3 linked regions of the Pelodiscus sinensis genome follow. The protein of the gene in region 3 purifies or fractionates together with the protein of the main gene of each other region. This does not show direct contact. Links are inferred from orthologs where the notes say so. Each region holds a gene or a part of one and is shown on either strand. Other genes may lie near its edges.

What was found. Proteins that work in one complex are often made in the same cells at the same time.
Region 1: the proteins of PNKP (region 3) and LIG3 purify together in Homo sapiens (co-immunoprecipitation; 5 studies listed by BioGRID and IntAct, with this or other methods). This does not show direct contact. The link is inferred for Pelodiscus sinensis from reciprocal best matches to the Homo sapiens genes PNKP and LIG3.
Region 2: the proteins of PNKP (region 3) and XRCC4 purify together in Homo sapiens (co-immunoprecipitation; 5 studies listed by BioGRID and IntAct, counting the BioPlex papers as one, with this or other methods). This does not show direct contact. The link is inferred for Pelodiscus sinensis from reciprocal best matches to the Homo sapiens genes PNKP and XRCC4.

The regions. Positions count from the first base shown.
Region 1 is NC_134731.1:17,267,840-17,275,395, reverse strand, and holds the start of LIG3 (DNA ligase 3), read left to right. Parts: upstream 1-4,317; 5' UTR 4,318-4,639; coding exon 4,640-5,105; intron 5,106-7,334; coding exon 7,335-7,478; intron 7,479-7,556. UniProt on the Homo sapiens protein: Isoform 3 functions as a heterodimer with DNA-repair protein XRCC1 in the nucleus and can correct defective DNA strand-break repair and sister chromatid exchange following treatment with ionizing radiation and alkylating agents.
Region 2 is NC_134716.1:79,416,165-79,423,766, forward strand, and holds the start of XRCC4 (DNA repair protein XRCC4), read right to left. Parts: upstream 3,240-7,602; 5' UTR 3,093-3,239; intron 1-3,092. Other genes in the region: TMEM167A (protein kish-A), read left to right, coding at 3,377-3,379.
Region 3 is NW_027465870.1:138,450-146,503, reverse strand, and holds the start of PNKP (bifunctional polynucleotide phosphatase/kinase), read right to left. Parts: upstream 3,105-8,054; 5' UTR 3,084-3,104; coding exon 2,864-3,083; intron 2,676-2,863; coding exon 2,629-2,675; intron 2,302-2,628; coding exon 1,891-2,301; intron 1,544-1,890; coding exon 1,464-1,543; intron 1,124-1,463; coding exon 1,066-1,123; intron 989-1,065; coding exon 881-988; intron 749-880; coding exon 677-748; intron 589-676; coding exon 540-588; intron 1-539. UniProt on the Homo sapiens protein: Plays a key role in the repair of DNA damage, functioning as part of both the non-homologous end-joining (NHEJ) and base excision repair (BER) pathways.

The sequences.
Region 1 (7,556 bases), on a different chromosome or scaffold from region 3:
TCTCCCACAATATTCTTCCCAGCAAGTTAAGGGAATGTGGATTGGATAAATGGACAGTAAGATGGCTAGAAGAAAGATGGCTAGAAGGCCGGGCCCAGCAGGTAGTGATCAATGGCTCGATGTCAGGATGGCGGTCGGTTTCTAGCGGAGTGCCCCAAGGTTCAGTTCTAGGACCGGTTTTGTTCAATATCTTTATTAATTACCTGGATGAGGGGATGGATTGCACCCTCAGCAAGTTTGAGGATGACACTAAGCTACGGGGAGAAGTAGATACGTTTGAGAGCAGAAATAGGGTCCAGAGTGACTTAGACAAATTGGAGGTTTGGGCCACAAGAAATCTGATGAGGTTCAACAAGGACAAATGCAGAGTCCTGCACTTGGGATGGAAGAATCCCAAGCATAGTTACAAGCTGGGGACCAACCAGTTAAGTAGTAGTTCTGCAGAAGAGGACTTTGGGGTTACAGTGGATGAGATGCTGGATATGAGTCAACAGTGTGCCCTTGTAGCCAAGTTCTGGCCCCCCACTACAAAAAGGATGTGGACGCATTGGAGAAGGTCCAGCGGAGGGCAACCAAAATGATTAGAGGGCTGGAGCATATGACTTATGAGGAGAGGCTGAGGGAGTTGGGTCTGTTTAGTCTACAGAAGCGAAGAGTGAGGGGGGATTTGATAGCAGCCTTCAACTTCCTGAAGGGAGGTTTCAAAGAGGCTGGAGAAAGGCTGTTCACAGTAGTGACAGATGGCAGAACAAGGAGCAATGGTCTCAAGTTGTGGTGGGAAAGGTCCAGGTTGGATATTAGGAAAAACTATTTCACTAGGAAGGTAGTAAAGCACTGGAATGGGTTACCTAGGGAAGTAGTGGAGTCTCCATCCCTAGAGGTGTTTAAGTCTCAGCTTGACAAAGCCCTGGCAGGGTTAATTTAGTTGGGATTGGTCCTGCCTAGAGCAGGGGGCTGGACTCGATGGCCTCCTGAGGTCTCTTCCAGCTCTATGGCTCTATGATTCTATGATAAGGTCATGGTTGATAATCAGCTGAACATGAGCTCCCAGTTTGATGCTGTAGCCAAAAGAGCTAATGAGATTCTGGGATGCATACATAGGGGCATCTCAAGAAAGAAGGGAGAGGTTATTTCAACCTCTGTATTTGGCACTGGTGCTGCAAAACCATGCCCGGTGCCGGTGCCCACAATTCAAGATGAAAGTTGATAAATTGGAGAGGGCTGGGTTTAGAGAAAAGCCACAAGAGCGATTAAAGGTTTAGAAAATCTGCTTTATGCTGATAGACTCAAAGAGCTGAATCTGTTTAGCTTAACAAAGAAACGGCTGAAGTGTGACTTGATCACAGTCTGTAAGTACCTATGTGGGGAATATAGATTTGATAATGGGGCTTTTCAGTCTAGTAGAGAAAGGTCTAATATGAACCAGTGGCTGGAGGCTGAAGGTAGACAAAATCAGATATGAAATAAGGCATTTTTTTCCCAGTAAGAATAATTAGCTGTTAGAACAATTTACCAAGTATCATGGTAGAGTCTCATTACTGACCCTTTTTTTAAATCAGGATTCTATAGGATTTGCTCTGGGAATTATTTTGGGGCAAGTCTTTGGCCTGTACTAGGAGACCAGACTCAATGATCACAATGGACTGCTCTGGGCTGGAATCTATGTGTAGTCACCTTACTAAAGGTGCTTCTGCTTATTTTCTGGGAAGACCCTGTGTGTGGCAATCTAACCTCACAGACTACAATTCCCATGAGCCCTGGGGAAAAACAGGAAGGAAGGACTCTTGATGGGGAGAGCTGAGTCTCTCCATGTGTGTGGAGAAAGACTCAGCAGTCTGTGGACTCCCTGGCTGTGTCTACATTAGCATCCCTTTTCCGGAAAAGGGTGCCAATGAGACAAGTCGGAATTGCAAATGCCGCAGGGGATTTAAATATCCCCTGCAGCATTTGCATGAACATGGCTGCCGCTTTTTTCCGGCTCGGGGCTTTGCCAGAGAAAAGCGCCAGTCTAGACGGGATCTTTCGGAAAATAAAGCGTTTTCTGGAAGATCCCTTATTCCTCTTAAAATCAGGAATAAGGGATCTTCCAGAAAAGGCTTTATTTTCCGAAAGATCTCGTCTAGACTGGCGCTTTTTTCTGGCAAAGCCCCGAGCCAGAAAAAAGCGGCAGCCATGTTCATGCAAATGCCGCGGGGGATATTTAAATCCCCCGCGGCATTTGCAATGCCGACTTGTCTCATTGGCACCCTTTTCCGGAAAAGGGATGCTAATGTAGGCACAGCCCCTCTGTTTTTGGACCAGAAAGGGAGCCAGGGAGTTTGATACAGTTCAGGAGCTGTTATGTTGCAGTTACAGACTGGGACAGCAAGCCTTTGGAACTGGGATCTAGCAGGCTGCTTTTGATTGCCCAAGAGAGGAGGTCCTTTGGCTGTACTTGTGTCTAGCAGCTACTCTGCATCCAGCACATAAAAGGAGACTGTGAGTAACTGGGCATCTTTGGGAAAATGCTGCCTGGGACAGACCTCAGAGATTCAGACTAACTCTGGGTTCAAAGAGAAGGAGAGAGGCCAACCCAGTGAACCAGAGCTGCGGCATAGTTTGGACCCACATACACACTACCTACAGAGAATCTCCATTATAGCTGCAGTTCTTCAAGCGCGCCCATGCAAGCAAGAATTTGGGACTCTGAGTCCAGGGGTGTGCACACTGGGGTGGGATAAATATTGGTAGCTAGATAAGTTCATTTTACTTTTGTGTACTTTGTTAATTAATGTTATTCACTGTTAATTTGTTAAATCCTGTTTCTTTAAGTTAAGTAAAGGTTGTTCATTCTAATGCAATCTATTAGATGTATATTATTTATGATTTGTAATTGTTGTTCGGGAGTTAGATCCAGTTTATTGCTGGAATAAGTTTATTCCTAGAGGCTTCCAAGGCACACCCGTGTGTACAGGGCCAGCCAGGTGGAGGCACCACCATTGTACATTCTTTATGAGCAAGGGACAGCAGCAAGGGGGTGGAGAGGTTTTCCCCAACCAAACAACATCACCACTGGGGTACTCAGGATCTCCTTTTATGTCAAGCCCATCAGGCCCTGTGCTGTGACCTGCTCCCAAGTATCCCAGGGAGGAAAAAGGGGTTACATATGAATGAGGGACTAGGGCTTCTGGTGAAGAGGGGGAGGTTTCATGCTATAAGGAAGATGGGGTCTGTGCTGAGGGGCCAGGTGTATGATGCTGAGGGGGGGTCTCTATGGGGGCAGGGTCTGTGCTGAGGGGGGGGTCTCTATGGGGGCAGGGTCTGTGGTGAGGGGCCAGGTGTATGATGCTGAGGGGGGGTCTCTATGGGGGCAGGGTCTGTGGTGAGGGGCCAGGTGTATGATGCTGAGGGGGGGGTCTCTATGGGGGCAGGGTCTGTGGTGAGGGGCCAGGTGTATGATGCTGAGGGGGGGTCTCTATGGGGGCAGGGTCTGGGGGCAGGGTCTGTGGTGAGGGAGGGGTTTGCTGTGAGGGGCAGGGTCTGTGGTGAGGGAGGGGTTTGCTGTGAGGGGCAGGGACTGTGCTGAGGGGAGGGGTTTGCTGTGAGGGGCAGGGTCTGTGCTGAGGGGAGGGGTTTGCTGTGAGGGGCAGGGACTGTGCTGAGGGGAGGGGTTTGCTGTGAGGGGCAGGGTCTGTGCTGAGGGGAGGGGTTTGCTGTGAGGGGCAGGGACTGTGCTGAGGGGAGGGGTTTGCTGTGAGGGGCAGGGTCTGTGCTGAGGGGAGGGGTTTGCTGTGAGGGGCAGTGTCTGTGCTGAGGGGAGGGGTTTGCTGTGAGGGGCAGGGTCTGTGCTGAGGGGAGGGGTTTGCTGTGAGGGGCAGGGTCTGTGCTGAGGGGAGGGGTTTGCTGTGAGGGGCAGGGACTGTGCTGAGGGGAGGGGTTTGCTGTGAGGGGCAGGGTCTGTGCTGAGGGAGGGGTTTGCTGTGAGGGGCAGGGTCTGTGCTGAGGGGAGGGGTTTGCTGTGAGGGGCAGGGTCTGTGCTGAGGGGATGAGGTTACTTTCAAGGGAGGGGTTGTGAAGAGATGGGGGGTTGCCTGGAGGAGGCAGGGTCACTAGAGATGGGCGTGGTTGTTGTCAGGGTGACTAGGTGAGGGGCAGGGCTTGTTGGGAGGGGGTGGGCGTTGTTGTTAGGGGCGGGGCTTGTGGTGAGGGGAACGAGGTTAGCCTGGGTCTGTGGTGACAGGCGGGGCTCGTGAGGGGCGGGGTTTTCTCAGCGGGGTCTCTGGGAAGGCAGTTGCTGAGGGGCGGGGTCTCTGTTCCGTGCGAGGCGCGGCCCACCACGCTACGGGGCCCGAGGGGCGGGGCCCTGCTACCGGCCCAGCCGCCGTGGCTCACGAGCCCGTGCGCATGCGCCATATCCTAGGCCCCGCCCCGGCCGCGAGTCCCGGATTTAAAGGGGACGCGGCGCACGCGGCTTTGGCCTAGGCCGGTCGCTCTCCGAGCCCGCAGCGAGGACTCCCTTCCTTGCCCAGCCCTGCCCCCTCCCGCTGGCACAGCCGCGAGGCTCTGAGGGGCGCCCCCGGCCCGCCCCGCCCCTCCCCCGCGGTGTAACGCGGCTCTGAGGGCTCCGCGCTGGGCCTTGTCCCCGAGGGCCGCGCGCCGCATGCCCGCTGCCCTCCAGCGCCTCCTCCCGCCGGCCGCCCGGGCGCTGAGCCGACGGGCCGGGCTCTGCCTGCGCGCGGGCAGCGCGCTCCTGGGTCAGCCCCTTCCCGCCAGCCGCCACCGGGCTCTTCCCTCAGCCGCGCCCCTCTGGCCCCGCCGGCTCTGCGCGGCCCCCGCGGTCATGGCGGAGCAGAGGTTCTGCGTGGACTACGCCAAGCGCGGCACCGCCGGCTGCAGGAAGTGCAAGGAGAAGCTCCTGAAGGGCATGGTGCGCATCGGCAAGGTGGTGCCCAACCCCTTCTCGGAGTCGGGGGGCGACATGAAGGAGTGGTACCACGTCAAGTGCGTCTTCGAGAAACTAGAGCGGGCTCGGGCCACGACGAAGAAGATTGAGGACATCACGGACTTGGAGGGCTGGGAAATGCTCCAAGATGAAGAGAAACAGATGATAAGCCAGCACATCGCAGGTGAGACACTAGAGGGAGACCCACTGTGCCTTGCACCTTTATCAGCTGTAACAGTAGGAAATGTGGCGTCAGTGATTTCTACTCCATAGAGGCATTGCACACAGGGCATTGCAGTGGTTTGTGATGAGTGCAGTTGTCTTTTTCTCTGCATCCCAAAAACTGCTATGAGTCTTTCCCAGGCTATGTCTAGACTGCCAGCCTCTTTCGAAAGAGGCTTTTTCGGAAGTATCTTTCTAAAAAAACCTCTTTCGAAAAAGAGCGTCTAGACTGCAGCCAGTCCTTTCGAAAAAGCAAGCTGCTTTTTCGAAAGAAAGCACCCAGGCAGTCTGGATGCTCTCTTTCAAAAACGCCCTGTTTGCATTCAAGAACGCCTTTTTTCGAAAGAGCTCTTTCGAAAAAAGGCATTCTTCTTCGTGAAATTAGGTTTACCGCCGTCTAAAGAAAAGCCGCGTTCTTTCGATTTAATTTCGAAAGAACGCAGCTGTAGTCTGGACACAGCCCCAGTGAGTTGAGAGAACTTGTCTGTCCTTGAATGCAATGGGAAGGAACTGTAAGAAGGCATTGCAGGACTATCGGCATGCACATGATTTATTATTGTCGCTTCATGGAACAGCAAAGAATAGAGAGTCCCTGCCTGAAGTAGCTTAGCCTGCATCCTTACTGAAAACTAGGTGGAGGAATAGCTCAGTGGTTTGAGTATTGTGAGTTCACTACTTGAGGGGGCCATTTAGGGATCTGGGATAAATCTGTCAGGGATGGTACTTGGTCCTGCTGCGAAAGCAGGGGATTGGACTTGATGACCTCTCAGGTGTGTATCAGAGAACCCCTGACAAAAAATTATTGCCCACCCTTGGGCTAGATCCTGGGTGCTACTTTCACTCCCACTGGTAAAATATTTAAAATCTCCATACATTTTAAATATTTTACCAGCGGGAGTGAAAGTAGCACCCAGGATCTAGCCCAAGGGTGGGCAATAATTTTTTGTCAGGGGTTCTCTGATACACACCTGAGAGGTCATCATCAGAGAACCCCTGACAAAAAATTATTGCCCACCCTTGGGCTAGATCCTGGGTGCTACTTTCACTCCCGCTGGTAAAATATTTAAAATGTATGGAGATTTTAAATATTTTACCAGCGGGAGTGAAAGTAGCACCCAGGATCTAGCCCAAGGGTGGGCAATAATTTTTTTGTCAGGAGCCACTTCAGAAATGTCACACAGGAAGGGATGGGGCCAAGATACTTCCAAGTTCCCTGCCCCCAGACAATGATTGGTCTGGGGGTGAGGAACTGCCTTTGCTACCCCACATTGCCCCTAGGTAGCTCATGCCCCTGGCATGGGAGGAGACTTCCCACGTTCCCCTGCCCCTAGGCCTAATAGAGCCTGGGGGTGGGAGAGTACATGAAGCCTCCTCCGCTCTGCCCCCATCTTGCTTCAAAGCACCATTTGCTCCTGGCATGACAGGAGGAGGCTTTGCATGCTCCCCAGGCCCTCATTGGCCTGGGGACAGGAGAGCAGCAGGGCCTCCATCGGCCAGATCTGGCCTAAGGAGGCCCTTTTGCCCACCCCTGGTCTAGCCTATCCCCTCAGCTGGGCTAACTAAACCCAGGCTTAAAATAAGATCATGAGAGTGTTTTATGTGCAGATGGGAGGGGGCTAGAGGCAACATCTAAACCAATGCCTGAGTGAACTCTGCAATTAAGACATGCTCTCAGAATGCAAGCACTGGAAGGCTGGAGGGAGGAAGCCCTACTCTCTAATGAAACTTAAATACCAACAACGGTTCTGTGGCACCTTGGAGACTAACAAATATATAAATAGTATCGTGAACTTTCATGGGCACGACCCACTTCTTCAGGTGACATATCATGGAGCAAAGGGCATAGATTTTGAAATATAAAGCCGAAAAAGAGGGAAGAAATGGAGGTGAGAGGAAAAAACCCTATCAATTAGTGTCAAGGCTAATGGAGTAGGCTGTAAGTGCAAGTCACTAGGAGCCCTGGTCAGCTCTATTTTGCTGTTTGAGCTGGGGCTCATTACTGAGCTCCTAGTAGACATTTTACAAATAAAACTACCTATCCCCTCTCTCCGTGTGTTGGCTATTTGTAAGTTCTGACAAAAGTTGCTTATTTCAAAGTATTGTAAGTTACTTACCTGATTTTGTTGTTGAGGGTTTACAGGTTGTCTTAGATCACTTATGCAGATGCTTTACCTCTTACTGTGTTCCACAGAGGCTACTTCCAAGGCTGCAAACACACCTAAGAAAAAAGCAACAGTCCAAGCCAAGCTCTCCCCCAGTGGGCAGATAACCACTCCCAAGAAGGAGCTACCAGCTGCCCCCAATCCATCACCAAAGAAATTCTCTGGCTTCACAGGTGAGATATATTACACTGATGCTAGGGGAGCCCCCGTTCTTATAATAGCATCAGTGGAGTTTGAGTCAAACCTCAGGG
Region 2 (7,602 bases), on a different chromosome or scaffold from region 3:
CCCTCTTTTTCCAGTGATAGAAGTAGTATCCATCACAAAATTCTGCAATGCATATAGACTTCTGTCCTCTTTACAATGGCCCCACCAATAAGTCCAACACTTGACGTATGAACCTTAAAAAGAGAGTCCCCAAATCAAATCTATTGCTCTTGAACTGGTACCTTTAAAGTTAAACACCATCAAACTTGGAAATGGGAAAATGACATTCAGCTATTCAGTAACCTTTCAGAAAACAGATCAGTGGTGACAGTCCTTAGCAGGGATGTTAAATTTAGATTAATTAACTAAACTGAACAATTGATGGGATTTCCACTGACTATTCAATTAGTCTATAAGGGTGCCTTTGCACTGAAGCAAGAGCCCTATCAGGCTCTTGCTACAGTTCAAAAGCAGAAGCCCCATGCTCTCTGCGGGGCTTCTGCTTTTGAAATTTCAAAAGTAGAATAGCAGCAGAAGTGCGGCAAGCAGAGACTGCTTCAGTCCCCGCTCGTGGCATTTCCTGTTGTGCCGCTATCTCCCCTGCCCACCACAGAGACGGTGCTAGGGGGAACCAGCTTTTAAGCCGGCTCTCCCTAGCACCAGCTCCTGCTCCTCTCCCTCTTGCTGCCTCTATCTGATAGAGGCAGCGAGGGGGGAGGAGGGGGAGAAGCGACTAGTCGCATGACTAGTCAACTATCCGCTAAGCTTCTGATTATTGGATAGTTGACTAATCTCTTACATCTCTAGTCCTTAGCACAAAAATAATAGTCACACTCTTCCACTGAAATTTTACATTCTCACATATAGTGTTGTCTTACTGAAATTTCTCAGAAGATCAAAGCTAACTGCTCACAAAATAACAAGGCTACATCTATTTCACCACAGTGATCCCACAAATTAAATCCTATCTACTGCAAAGACTATGGAGGTAGAGATATAGACCTCCTTCAAAATCAGCTGTCAGATGAAAGCATCACTATGGATTTCATAGCTCTAACAGGCCCCCTGATGCATGTAATGACTTCAGTGAGCCAATAACCTAAATCACCACACTGGACAATTAAAAAACTACAAAGGTTTCAATTAATTTGTGCCTTTTAGTAGCTAAGTATGAGAAAAGGGGTTATAGCTCTGACACATAAGTATTACCTTTATTCAAGCATTTCCAACTTAGCCACACCAAGTCTGTCACATAAATTTAAAGCTCCCACCAAGGTAGCATTTCCATAAAGGAAAGGAGGATAATGAAGTGAATTAGCACACAGGAGCTGCAATAAAATCTAAGCTGAGGAGACTGATAGATGAATCTGCTTCTTTTTAAGTCTACTCTGTTGTCTTATATGCTTCCAGGAGTAAACAGTGAGGATCATTCTGAATTTACCTGCAAAACCAAACCAATTGTTAAGATGTTCTTTTTTTGAAATGGGGTGCTTCATTTAAAACAATGTTTTTTTTATTTGATTCATCATACTTCACTAAATAAGATATTACCGCATCACTGCAGTTCCACATTTCTAATAGATGCTTAGAATGAAATGATTAAACTTTACGCACTTTACACAACAAGGAGTAACCAAACACTGGAAAATGTTTTAAGTATCATGGCATGGTGCCAAAATGGGATAAACTAACTCTTTAAAGATTACCTTGACTGCTATAGGATAACAAGCCGTTCTATCATGAGTTACAGAACAAGTCAAGGGAAAAATCAGATGTGCCCTTTAAAACAGAAATGCTCACAAAAATGTATTAGAGCTACCACTGTCATTTCAACTAGACAGGTGGGGTTTTAATCACAATATCCAATTACAGTTTTTATATTTCATATCCATAGTTTGGTCACTTAGAAGGGAAGTGACAAGATGAGCAATGATAGGCCCTTACATGTAAGACAAAAATATATTTATTAAGTGAATGGGAGGTGGTGAGATATTTCTACAGATGACAAATATTCCATAAAAAGGGTAGTTTACAGAAGTTAAATGAAATGGAATACTGTTTGCCAGTAAAGACCTGCATCTATCTGTACAGATGAATCTGATACCATCTAAATGTTTTGTTAGTCTTTAAAGTGCTACCAGACTATTTGTTGTTTACATTTTTCCTCTTACAGACTAACACAGCTACCCCTCTGAAGCATATGAATCTTTGTTTGCCAACTTTAAAAACAACATGCCCAGAAATCAACAGCAAGAATTCTTCATTTACAGGTACTCAGTGACAATCAAAAGGGGAGATTCATTTTTCATCCAGCACTTTTTATCCTAAGAGGGCAAAAGGAGGCCAAGTTTCATTCATATATACAAAGCGTACTCATAGGGTCAATGTAAAAGTAGGCATATGACCCAATGAAGTAAGCAAGACTACCAACCAACTAGCTATGCCCTGTTGGGGGGGAGGGGGGGAGTGCAGGGTGGAGAGCTAACACAGAATTTAGAAACCTAATACAGCAGCTTCTAAAAATTGCATTGCCTTTATAGTCGTAGTTTCAGTCTATGTAGACATTATTTATGTTGACAGTTCTCCCATTGCTGTAGTAGTAAAGCCACCTTCCAGACTGGCAAAGTAATTATTTCATCAACCTCGCACTGTGTACACCACGGATCAGGTTGGCCTGGCAACGTTATTGAAGGATGTGGATATTTCACAGCACTGAAGGATGCCCATGCAAGTTCCCAGTATAGACAAGTCCAGAAGGGCTTGAAAAATTACACAGGCGCCTGCTAGAGGTCAGTGTACGGAGGAAGGGGAGGCGGGGAAGGGAAGCAGAGAGACCCAGCCGCTGCCCCGCGACCCAAGCACTGCTTCTGGGATTGCCCCCATGCTACTGCTCCTATACCCGCGGAGACGGGGCGAGAAGGGCGAGGCCTCGGACGTTCCCCTCCGTTTCTGCTCCCACCAACGGAAATTTCCCCGCCCCTATCTCTGGTGGAGGGGAAGGAGGCCACCGCCCCACCCGACAGCCCTTGGCAGGCTCCTGCCCCTTTCCCGCCTCAGTTACACGACCCCGCCCGCCCCAGCAAGGCGGCAGCGCGGACGCAGGGAGTCTGCTGCCAGGGCACAGGCAAGAGGAGGCCCGCGCCTTGTGGGAGCGCCCGACAGCCCCCCTGTACCTCGCTCCCACTGTGCGATCCCGTTTCCGCCTTCCCGCGGTGGGGGCGGGGGAGTGTGAGTTGCTGCAGCCAATCAAAGCCGCCAGCTGCCGCGCGCCGGTACAGTTATGCACCCCCCCAGCCCTCTGGCCGCCGCCCCCAATCAGCACTCGCAGAGGCTCCGCTGACGCCTGTCAGTCACGAGCCGGCACTTCCCCGACCAACCAGAAGAAAATTAGGTAACGCCTCTTCCGGTTCTGCCCCCCTCGTTCCCGGAAGTGTGATGTGTCTAGAAGCGGGGAGCTATGGTAAGCGCGAAGGTGCCGGTTGTGCGGCGCTGAGCCCCTTCCCCTTCCCCCTCCTTTTCCCTGATCTGTGAGGGGCTCCGACCCCAGGAGCTCGCGGCTGGTTTGTGGCGCTTGCTCAGAGGCCCCCGCGCTCCTGGCCCCCCTGTTCCAGTAACCACGCTGGAGACTCAGTCTCGTGGTTGCCCTCCCCCCCCCCCCCATTATGCTTCATTTCGGTCACCAATGCCTGGCTTGCTGAGTGACGCCATCGCGCCTGTGACGTCATTCAGCGACCCAAATAGGTGAAGGGCGGGAGAACTCTCGCGAGCACGTGATGTGTAGCTGAGTATTCGGTTATACTCGCTAGTCTGCAGCAGGTAGATCTTGCCGCCCTTTCTTTTTTAAAGGGATAAATGTGCTTAAACGATATTTTCTGTTAGATTCTTGATAACACACGAGTAGTTGCTTTTTCTTGAAAATAATGTGGGTTTTAAGAGAACAATGCATAATATATATTCCTTAAAAGGCGGTTTAATGGTAATTTCGAAAGAAGGGTTTCCTTTTGAAATAATCACATCTAGACACCTTATTTTAAAAAAAAGCTATTTCAAAAAAGCAGCCTGATGCGATTATGCAAATGAAGCATGGGAAATTCAAATCCATGCTTCATTTGCAATTTTGCTCAGCTGCATTTGCATTCCTCTCTGGACAGAGGAATGCAGTGTAAACATACCCTAAGAGCCCAGTAAGCAGTGGAAGTGTTGGTAATGCTGCTACACAATATTTACCTCCTGTGGCTCTGCAAATTCTCTGGTTTGGCTCTAGTTAGGTTGCGGGCTGCCAGAATAGAGAGGTTCAGTCTATAGTTGCTTGTGTAAGCATTCTTTGCAAGATCTTTATGATGGCTGTGCCTTGTAGGCACAGGGTGTGTCAGACCAAAGCAGTTGTTGCCTGACTTGTTGAATGGTCTCTGAAAATACACTGACACTTTGGAGGATGAGCATAAGTGAAGTTTTCCCTTTTCAGCAGCAGCCTGGGAGAGCTATAGCTCTTTTGTACCTTTCTGACTTTTCTAATGTTGCTTTAATGGATTTGAGAATGTAGGATAATAGAAGGGGAAAAAATTGAAAACTCTGCCCTAAAATATAACTAACCATGTTGATCAAAGGGTCATTTAATTTATTAAATTTGGCTCTTAAGTGCAAAATGAGAGAGAAAACTGGAATCTAGAGATGATTATTTTTTCTGTAAAAGCAGAAGTCCAAGTAAGAACATGTTCTGCATAGAGCAAAGAAGGGATGCAACTGACTAGTCAACTAGTTGCTCCCTACCTCCCCCTGCTGCCTTTTTCAGAAAGAGGCAGCAAGGGTGGGAAGCAGGAGCCAGTGCTGAGGGGAACCAGTGAAGTACCATCTCCTGGGTGCAGCCTGCCTCTGCTGCCTCTCTCTGAGGCAGCAGGGGGTTAAGGGATGCTGCTGTGAAGTGCTGGACTCCTTCCTCCCCCCCCCCCCCCCCGACAGGGGCTGTTGCCGCCAAGCAACCCCTGTTCATGGCGGCCAGGGCTAGCAGCGGGCAGGGTCTGCTCAAGCAGCATCCCCCGTCCACAGCCAGCTGGTGCCAGAGCAGTCTCTGTCCTCAGTGGCCTGAGGTGGGCCATATTTAACATTAGTGTGACAAGCATTGTCTCCCAAATGTTGGGAGTATTTCACTGTTGCAGTAAAAGATTTCCAAATCGTGAAGGTCCTGGAGCTTTTGCCCTGTGCAGCCTTTCCCTACTGCTTATGTGTGTAGAGAGCTGTATATGATATATACATTAAGGGTTCAGGAGTGTATTTACTTGCCGAAGCCCCCTAGCTCCTATTGTCTTTTAAGTTGCAGAGCCAAAGTTAGGTTTGGTCCTTCACCCAGTGCGAGCTGGGATTGAGCTGGGCTGCCTATCGCCTAATTGAGTAGTAAGTAAAAATTATATTTGCTCTTCGATTAAATACCTGCCTCTCATCATTCCGAGTCACAATCACTTAAATTGTACAATTCTATCAAATTTTGCTGCAAAACTGTACAGCTAGAAACTAAGCTGTCAGTAACAGCCAGTAATTAAGTTTTTAACTTTTCTGATTGTGAGAGGCAAAAACATTCCAGATATGATTTGAGGGTAAACTTAATTGTTGTCTTACTGAAACTGCAGATAGCTTAAAACAGCAGTTGTGTGAATTATGAACTCTCCTATCCATCTCAATATGATAATATGACTTTACAGTCAAATAATTGCCTTTTAAATGCCAATCTTAATTATTTAATGTTTTAACTGAAGCAGCCAGTTAATGTGATTGATCGTGGTTATTGACTGCAGTGGTGAATGTAGGCATGGATAGTCTGTTGACTTAGGTTGCTGTTGTGGGAATCTTGGGCCTCAAACTAAGGATGTGAAAGATTAACTGGTAACCGTCACTCTTAACAGGAAAGGCTTCAGTTAACTGGTAATTGGTGGGGGCTGGAGTATTTTACCCACCTGGTACTTCTATGTTGCAACCATATATTGTTAATAATAAAAACCTTGTGAACTGGAAACCTCTACATTTGGATATAGTGTAATCAGTGAGATATCAGAATAACATCAGGCTTCAGTTTCCCAGCTATGGCAGACTGATCCTTGGTGCTTTTGGGATCAGGGTAATGCAAATACTTTGAGCCACCTTTGTGTTCCCCTGATCCCCAGGGCTGCTAGTTGCCCTTCTGGCCCTCAGCCTGTTTTAGAGGATCCTCGAGCCTGCTTTAAATTACACATGGTGCTTACACAGGGCTAGTCCAAGAATTATCAAAGTACAGCGCAGTCTGGCCAGATCCCCAGCTGTGTATAGGTGTTCCCTTATTGGAGGGAACTCCCTAACCAGCTGTTGAATCTGTTTTGTGATAGGGATATAAGTGAGTAGTCAAGTTGGGTAGTTGACTACTCGCTTCCCTCCGCCCTTGCTGTCTCACCTTGCTGCCTCTGTATAAGAGGCAGCAAGGCTGGGGGAAATGGGGGCTGTGGGGAGCTAGTTCCCCCCAGAACTGTCTCTGCAGTGTCGCCTGCCCCTGCCTCTATCAGAGGCAGGGTGGTGGAGGGGGCAATAGGGGAGGCTACCACGAAGTAGCCTCTGCCCACAGTGGCCCCGGCTGCTCTGGCAGCAGCTCCTGTCCATGGCCAGTCTGGACTACCGCAAACGGGCTGCTGGACCCCGTGCAAGCTGAGACCAAGCAGTCCTAGCTTGCACCAGTTTGGGACTACTGTGCCTCTGCACTTTAAATGTAGTAAGAGCTGCTGGACTCTTACTACATTTAAAATGCAGAGGTGCAGCAGTCCCAGAGCCAGCGCGAGCTGGGACTGCTCAGTTCCAGCTTGCACTGGGTCTGGGAGCCACCCACGTTGCAGCTCTGCAAAGTGGCTCCCCTTCTTGATTAAACGTGTACAGGCAGTCCCCGGGTTACGTACAAGATAGGGACTGTAGGTTTGTTCTTAAGTTGAATCTGTATGTAAGTCGGAACTGGCATCCAGATTCAGCCGCTGAATCTGGACACCAGTTCTGACTTACATACAGATTCAACTTAAGAACCCCAGGCGTCCCCAAGTCAGCTGCTGCTGAAACTGATCAGCAGCTGATTCCAGGAAGCCCGGGGCGGAGCAATTCTGCCTCGGGCTTCCTGTAGTCAGCCGCTGGTCAGTTTCAGCAGCGGCTAATTTGGGGACGCCTGGGGCAGAGCAGCTCAGGTGCTGCTGGGTTGGTCCAGTAGTGCGGCTGCTCCTTGGCGCTACTGGAGCAACCCAGCAGCACCCCAGCTGCTCTGCCCCAGGTGTCCTGATTCAGCCACTGCTGAAACTGATCAGCAGCGGCTGAATCAGGACTCCTGGGGCAGAGTAGCTGGGGTGCTGCCAGGTTGGTCCAGTAGCGCCAAGGAGCGGTGCTGTGGGACCAACCGGCAGCGCCCCACCTGCTCTACCACAGGCCCCGGGCTTTGCTCCACATCTCCCTGGTCTGCTGAGGGGGGCACTAGCTGCGTCCACCCCAGCAGACCAGGGAGACGCTGAGCAAAGCGGCGGAGGACCCGGGGCCGGACCCGCGGCCGCTTCCAGATCAGCTGGAAGCGCCGTGGGTCCGGCCGGGTCCTGCGCGGCTTTGCTCAGCGTCTCCCTGGTCTGCAGACCAGAGAGACGCTGAGCAAAGCGGCGCAGGACCCGGGGCCAGACCCGCGGCGCTTCCAGATCA
Region 3 (8,054 bases):
CAGTTTCCCCTGTGCAGCGTAACAGGCTGGCAGGCGAGGGGGGGGGGTTAATCAGTGTTGTACATGAAGATGGGGTATGCCTCAGTTTCCCCTGTGCAGCGTAACAGGCTGGCAGGCGAGGGGGGGGGGGTTAATCAGTGTTGTACATGAAGATGGGGTATGCCTCAGTTTCCCCTGTGCAGCGTAACAGGCTGGCAGGCGGGGGGGGGGGGTAATCAGTGTTGTACATGAAGATGGGGTATGCCTCAGTTTCCCCTGTGCAGCGTAACAGGCTGGCAGGCGGGGGGGGGGGTAATCAGTGTTGTACATGAAGATGGGGTATGCCTCAGTTTCCCCTGTGCAGCGTAACAGGCTGGCAGGCGGGGGGGGGGGAGGGAGTGACCCCACCCAGCAGCAAGAAGCATCCCCAGAGCCTGAGGGTATCGCACCCATGAGGGGCCTGCAAAGTGGTGGGAACCAGGCTGGACCCCAAGGGAGAGCGGCCTCTGGCCACGGAGCCCCCTCCCTCCGCGGAGCCACACCCCCTTCTGCCCGCTCACCTCCCACGTAGAGACTGTTCTTCAGCGTCACTGCCACGGCGCCGTTCTCCTGGGGGGTGGGAGGGGTCAGACATGGGGGGAGGAGCTGGCCAAGGCCCCGCCTCCTCCCTCTGCTCGCCCCGCCCCCAACCTGGTACCTTCTCACATAGATGCTCCCACATGCCCAGCAGGGGTTTGCGGTAGAGCCCAGAGCCAGTCGCCACCAACACCTGGGGGGCAGAACGCGGGGGGGGGGGGGGTCACTCCTGGGACAGGCATGGGCATCCCCACAACAGGAGGCACCTCCTGAGACGGGGGCTCTAAGTAGGGCCAGGGACACCTCCCCCCCCCAGCTCCCCTACCTGCATGGGAACCCCCAGTTGCTCCAACACGGCCTCTGCCTTGGCCTTGAAGGCCTCAGGGCGCAGGCGGCCCTTGCTGATCCCCAGCTGGTTGGTGAAGATCACAATCTGGAGGGGGAAGATACATGAGGTCAGGGACCGGGGGGCGGGACAGGGCAGGGATGGGGGGGGGGGGGAGAACAAACCTTATATCCCTCACTCTGTAGCTTCCTCAGCTTCTTGGCAACCTCGGGGTACAAAATCCTGAGAATGAAACACGGGTTACTTCCAAAACAGCCCCCCGATTCCCCGCCCGCACCCCCTGCCCCCCAGCCCTGCCGGCGCCCCTCCCTCCCCACCCGCAGCCCCTGCCCCCCAGCCCTGCCGGCGCCCCTCCCTCCCCACCCGCAGCCCCTGCCCCCCAGCCCTACCAGCGCCCCTCCCTCCCCACCCGCAGCCCCTGCCCCCCAGCCCTGCCAGCGCCCCTCCCTCCCCACCCGCAGCCCCTGCCCCCCATGCCTGGGCTCCCCCCGCCCTGCAGCCGCCATGCTGTTGGAGGTCCCCACTCTTGACCCCTGCTAACCGGCCCGGGCTCTGTGCTCACCTCCAATCATCAGGGCTTGTGGCAAAAACCTTCCCAGACTTGGTCGTGATGATGGTTCCATCCAGGTCAAACCCAGCAACCTATGGAAGCGAGGCACCCCCCTGGTAGAGCAATGGATTCATCCACCCCCATCACATCAATGGTCCCACCCAGCGCCTCTGCCCCGCCAAAGAACAGTACGTGGATCCACCCCCCCAGCAATGGATCCATCCACCACCCGTCCTCACAGCCATGGACCCACCTGCCTCCCCCACTACAGCAATGGACCAATCTGCTTCCCCCCCCCCATCAGAATAAATGGACCCTTCCAGTGCCCACACTCAATAGACACCCCTCCCCATCAGACCCATGGAACCTCCCCACTCTGGGCCCAGCTGCCCCCCCTTCCCCCCCAGCAGGGCAGGCAGTTCCCCAGGCTAACTCCTACCTTGGTGCTGGGCACCACCCCCTGCTTGGTGAAGACCAGCAGCTTGCCATGCTCGTGCCAGGAGTCCCTGGGGTGAGGGGGCTGCTCCGAGGCCTCCCCCTGGGGCGGAGCTGGGGGCCTGGCCTTTGCCTGCTCCGCGCTGGCTGCCGTCTCCTGCAGCTGGCGCAGCTTTGCGACCACGGCAGGGTCCTCTTCTTCCTCTCCCTCCTCCTCGGTGGAGCTGGAGGTCTTTGGCCTCTTAGAGGCTGGCCCCTCGCCACCCCCGGCCAGGCTCCGGCGGGGGGCGGGCAGGAAGTGCAGCGTGTAGGGGTAGCGCCCGTTGACCAGCCACAGCGTCTGCCCCTCCTGCAGCGTGCTGCTGTCACCGGGCTGCAGCTGCAGCTCCTCCACCGATGTGGGGTTCACGCCCCGCTGCAAAACAGGGGGACTGAGCGCAGGAACAGCCCCCCCCTTTGCCGGGCAATGGCCCCTCCTCTTTTCCATCAGTGTGCGGAATACGTTCTGTTCCACGCACCGAGGTGCGTGCAGAGGGGCACCACCAGGAGAAGGCACTTTGCTACCAGCTAGGCGGTGCCCGAATCTCTCTTGGGCAGCTGCCCAAGCACCAAGCTTACAGGAAACGCTGCCTCGGGGGCTGTACCGCAGAACCGGGGGACGGGGCCCCATATAACCAGTCCTCGCGCCGCTCCCCAGGGCTTGGAGCCCCATATAACCGCCCGCCACCAACCTGCCCCTCACCTGGGTGACTCTCACAGCCTGGTGCTTGTAGTCAGCCAGTAACTCCACTGCAAGAGAGGGGGGGGGATATGAGTGAATGGAAAACTGGAACCCCCCCAATCCGCACACTCGGATGCCTCCCCTTCAATCCCCCCCCCCCTCCACAGCCAGGGACCTAGATAGGGCCCTATCCTGGCACAGGGCCTTGAGCCTGGACTGAGGGGGGGGGGGCGGCTTGCAGAGCCCCGGTACCCACCTTGCTTCCGGGAGCATTTCTTATCCGCCACGCGGGTGCGAGGCCCCCTGCCCAGCACCACGGGGACCCCGTCGGGCAGGGCCACGGGGTCGTGCTGCCCATCCTGGCTCACCAGCAAGCACTCCATGGCGCGGCCCTGGGCACGGGACACGCGGGGCAGGTCAGGGGCCAATGCCACCCTGAGCCCCCCCTCCCCCGGGCCGTGCCCTGAGCCCCCCATTGCCCCCCCCAGGCTCCGAGCCCCCCCATCGCCCCCCCAGGCCGTGCCCTGAGCCCCCCATTGCCCCCCACCCCCCCAGGCCCCGAGCCCCCCCATCGCCCCCCCAGGCCGTGCCCTGAGCCCCCCATTGCCCCCCACCCCCCCCCCAGGCCCCGAGCCCCCCCATCGCCCCCCCATGCCGTGCCCTGAGCCCCCCATTGCCCCCCCCAGGCCGTGCCCTGAGCCCCCCATTGCCCCCTACCCCCCCAGGCCCCGAGCCCCCCCCATCGCCCCCCCAGGCCCTGAGCCCCCCCATTTCTCCCCCCGCCCGGGCCGTGCCTTGAGCCCCCCCCCATCGCCCCCCGGTGTCCCCCCCTTTCCCGCCCCCCGGAAGTGGGCTCGCAGGCACGTGGGGGGCCGGACCCCGTTTCCGGGGGCACCTCGGCAGGGGGAGGGGCCGGTGCGGGGCCCCGGGCCGGTCACTGCGTCAAAGACACGCCGGGAACTTCCGCGGGAGGCGGCACTTCCGGCGGGGGAGCGGCCGCCCGGCGCCTTGCGCGCGGGTTCCGGGGAACTTTGGGTCCTAGGCGGGGCCGGGGGCGGGGCCGTCTCGCCACGTGACCCCCCCCCCCACCACCACCTGGCCCGGGCCCCATTGACTGAGGATAGAGCCCTGTGGGGCCTCGGGGGGGGGGGGTTAGTCTCAGGTTTGGGGGTTGCGGGTCGAAGGGGTCGGAGGGTGCAGGTTTGGGGGTGCAGTTTGGGGGGCTGGGAGGTTCTGGGTTTGGGGGTTGCGGGTCGAAGGGGGTGGGGATCGGAGGGTGCAGGTTTGGGGGTGCAGTTTGGGGGGCTGGGAGGTTCTGGGTTTGGGGGTTGCGGGTCGAAGGGGGTGGGGGTCGGAGGGTGCAGGTTTGGGGGTGCAGTTTGGGGGGCTGGGAGGTTCTGGGTTTGGGGGTTGCGGGTCGAAGGGGGTGGGGGTCGGAGGGTGCAGGTTTGGGGGTGCAGTTTGGGGGGCTGGGAGGTTCTGGGTTTGGGGGTTGCGGGTCGAAGGGGGTGGGGATCAGAGGGTGCAGGCTTCGCATTCCAGGTTTTGGGGTGCCATTCAGGGGACTCTGACTTGGCTGAGCAGGTATTGGGGGTTGCAGCTCGGAGAGCTGGATGTTTTTGGGTTGCAATACTGCGGAGACCCACTGGCTCCTCCCTGGCATTTTACCTAGTGAGGTGCAGTGAGCTGGGAGGGCAACACAGTGCAGCCTCCCGCCTCCAGGGTGAGTAGGAGGTGGCGGGTGATGTAGCCCCTGGTACTACCCGTCAAGGGGGCAGAGCAGGAGCAGGGCTTGGGGAAGGGGCTTGGGGGGCAAGGAGCCCCCCTAGGGATAGCCCTGGATGTGCTGAACCCCGTGGACAGAGCATCCGGCAGTGAGTGACCGGGGCACAGTAGAAATAAGGGGGACTCGGAAGAGCCAGGCGCGCTAAAGGCCAGTGAGGGGCGGTTCTAGGACGCAGAGGGGCCTACGGCTTAACCCCAAAGCATGTGGGTCCCCGAGAAGGGTGACATCCCAAGGGACATGGAGCCAGAGGGTAACCCCCAGGAGGGGCCGTGACCTCTCAGAGGCTGGCCCACTGAAGGGGTTCTCCCTGGGAATCGTGGGGAGCAGAGGGGGGCGCCCATGGAGCTGAGGGCGCAACATGACCCCCCGGTTTAGGGGCGGGTCTAGGGGTGCACTATCGAGGGGGGTGGCTTGGGGGGTCGTGGGTCGGGAGGCAGGTCTAGGGGTGCCAGCTGGTGTCAGTCCTAGAGACACTTCCCCCCTCCCATGTGTATTCAGACTCCTGGGTTCTGGCCTCATGGCTTGGGGGGAGGGGGAGAACCTGTCTCCTAAGCTGCTCTGTTGTGTGGCGAGTGGAGCCCTGTCGGGAGAGGGGACCACCAATCCCCTGCCCCATTCAACCTGCACTGGGGCCCCTTCCCCACATCCAGCACTTCTCCCTCCCTGGGCCCCAGGCTCCTCCACAGCCCCTTGGTGCAGCCCCTGCATCCCTCCACGGAGTGCCGTGCATCCCACTGCTGACACCACTATGCCGAGGTGTCGGGATCCCCCGACACTGCAGCCCCGAACAGACTCCGCCAGCTGGTAGAATGGGGGAGGGGGGTTATTGCTTCTCCAGGATACAGCACAGCCCAGCCGTGATGTGGCTACAGGAGTCCGCGGAGCCAGGATGCCTCAGCCCCCTTGAGATGGGGTCCCTAGGCCCCTCGATTCCAGCCCCCCCCTTCATGGTTCCAGCCCAAGACTGACCCTTCCCCCAACACTCACTTCCTTAGTTCCCTGGCTGCCCCAACTGGTCTGACCGGTTGGGTCTTTGTCTACCTGACTTAGGCAGCCCCCCTGCTGGGCCGTGCTCACAGGCAGGGGCCAGTAGAGGTCCCCCCCCAGCCCACAGCCCAGGCACAGCAGCCAGCAAGGTCCTGACACCACATCACCACGCGTGGGGGAGTCAGTGGGAATCGCACCTCCCAGCACAGGGGGACCCCGGGATACAGAGCAGACAGCCCCCCCCCCCACTGCGCCACACCCCGCATTGGGACAAAGTGGGGATTTTTGTAGGATTTTAGCTGGATAGTGTCCGTGCCTCAGTTTCCCTGTGCACTGAGTGTGTAATGAGGGGGCGGGGGAGGGTTTGCTGTTGCACAGGACCAGGGGTGACCTCACGTAGCAGCAGGGACCCCGAAACTCCAGCCTGCAGTGGGGGACCCAGTGACCGAGAGGCCCAGCCTAGCTCAGGTGGCACAGCCAGGTCTGGCCAGTGTGAGGCCAGAGGGAAGAGAGCCCCCCCCTCGCCCCCGCACTCTGCCCAGTTGGTCCCAGTAGGGTGGGGGCGGGCACAGGAGGGAGGAGGAGGAGGTGAATCGGAGAAGGGCCCAGGGACCTAGTTACCAGGTCAGACAAAGCGGGGGGAGCTCTGCTAGAAGCCATGGGGGGGGGGGGGCGGAGGCTGGGCTGTGGGAGGGGAGGGGAGGGCTGCAGGACAGAGGGAGCCGCGCTGGGCCAAGGGGGCCAGGCCCAGGGCTGGGGGAGGTTCCTGCACTGGGGCCAGACGCCCACTGACCCCCCTGCCTGACCTGCCGGGCGCGGGGCTCCAGGGCCAGAGCCAGGGGTCCCTGAGGGGCAGGCAGAGCCAGGCCTGCAGGGGCTGAGAACGGGGGGGGGGGTGCCAGGAGGGGCTGCCCCCCCGGAGGAGCCCCAAGAAGGGGCTGTCGCACTGAAGGGGGCCCCCCCAAGGACTGTTCAGGTCACAACCAGTGAGCCCCAACTCAGGCCCCCCCAGCCCCAGCCTGCCCCCCAGCGCCCCCCCCCGGCCCGGCTCTCACTTCCACAAGGATCAGTTTTTATTAATAAAACAACAAATTCAGGTAACATGAAGTAAGACGTTCAGACACCCCCCCCCCCCCCCCCAAAATCTGTAGCATCCAGGCATCGTGATTCACACAGCAGGGAGCTCTTGGGCTGCAGCCCTCAAGGACAGTCCATGGGGCCCGGGCGCCGGGGTCGCAGCCGGAGGGTGGGGTGAGTCCGTGGGGCCCGGGCGCCGGGGTCGCAGCCGGAGGGTGGGGTGAGTCCATGGGGCCCGGGCGCCGGGGTCGCAGCCGGAGGGTGGGGTGAGTCCGTGGGGCCCGGGCCCCGGGGTCGCAGCCGGAGGGTGGGGTGAGTCCGTGGGGCCCGGGCCCCCGAGGTCGCAGCCAGAGGGTGGGGTGAGTCCGTGGGGCCCGGGCCCCCGAGGTCGCAGCCGGAGGGTGGGGTGAGTCCGTGGGGCCCGGGCCCCCGAGGTCGCAGCCAGAGGGTGGGGTGAGTCCGTGGGGCCCGGGCCCCCGAGGTCGCAGCCGGAGGGTGGGGTGAGTCCGTGGGGCCCGGGCCCCCGAGGTCGCAGCCGGAGGGTGGGGTGAGTCCGTGGGGCCCGGGCCCCCGAGGTCGCAGCCGGAGGGTGGGGTGAGTCCGTGGGGCCCGGGCCCTGAGGTCGCAGCCGGAGGGTGGGGTGAGTCCGTGGGGCCCGGGCCCCCGAGGTCGCAGCCGGAGGGTGGGGTGAGTCCGTGGGGCCCGGGCACCTGGGATCGCAGCCGGAGGGTGGGGTGAGTCCGTGGGGCCCGGGCGCCCGGGGTCGCAGCCGGAGGGTGGGGTGAGTCCGTGGGGCCCGGGCCCCCGAGGTCGCAGCCGGAGGGTGGGGTGAGTCTGTGGGGCCCGGGCACCTGGGATCGCAGCCGGAGGGTGGGGTGAGTCCGTGGGGCCCGGGCGCCCGGGGTCGCAGCCGGAGGGTGGGGTGAGTCCGTGGGGCCCGGGCGCCCGGGGTCGCAGCCGGAGGGTGGGGTGAGTCCGTGGGGCCCGGGCCCCCGAGGTCGCAGCCAGAGGGTGGGGTGAGTCCGTGGGGCCCGGGCCCCCGAGGTCGCAGCCGGAGGGTGGGGTGAGTCCGTGGGGCCCGGGCCCCCGAGGTCGCAGCCAGAGGGTGGGGTGAGTCCGTGGGGCCCGGGCCCCCGAGGTCGCAGCCGGAGGGTGGGGTGAGTCCGTGGGGCCCGGGCCCCCGAGGTCGCAGCCGGAGGGTGGGGTGAGTCCGTGGGGCCCGGGCCCCCGAGGTCGCAGCCGGAGGGTGGGGTGAGTCCGTGGGGCCCGGGCCCTGAGGTCGCAGCCGGAGGGTGGGGTGAGTCCGTGGGGCCCGGGCCCTGGGGTTGCAGCTGGAGGGTGGGGTGAGTCCGTGGGGCCCGGGCGCCCGGGGTCGCAGCCGGAGGGTGGGGTGAGACCGTGGGGCCCGGGCCCCCGGGGTCGCAGCCGGAGGGTGGGGTGAGTCCGTGGGGCCCGGGCCCCGGGGTCGCAGCTGGAGGGTGGGGTGAGTCCGTGGGGCCCGGGCCCCCGGGGTCGCAGCCGGAGGGTGGGGTGAGTCCGTGGGGCCCGGGCCCCGGGGTCGCAGCTGGAGGGTGGGGTGAGTCCGTGGGGCCCGGGC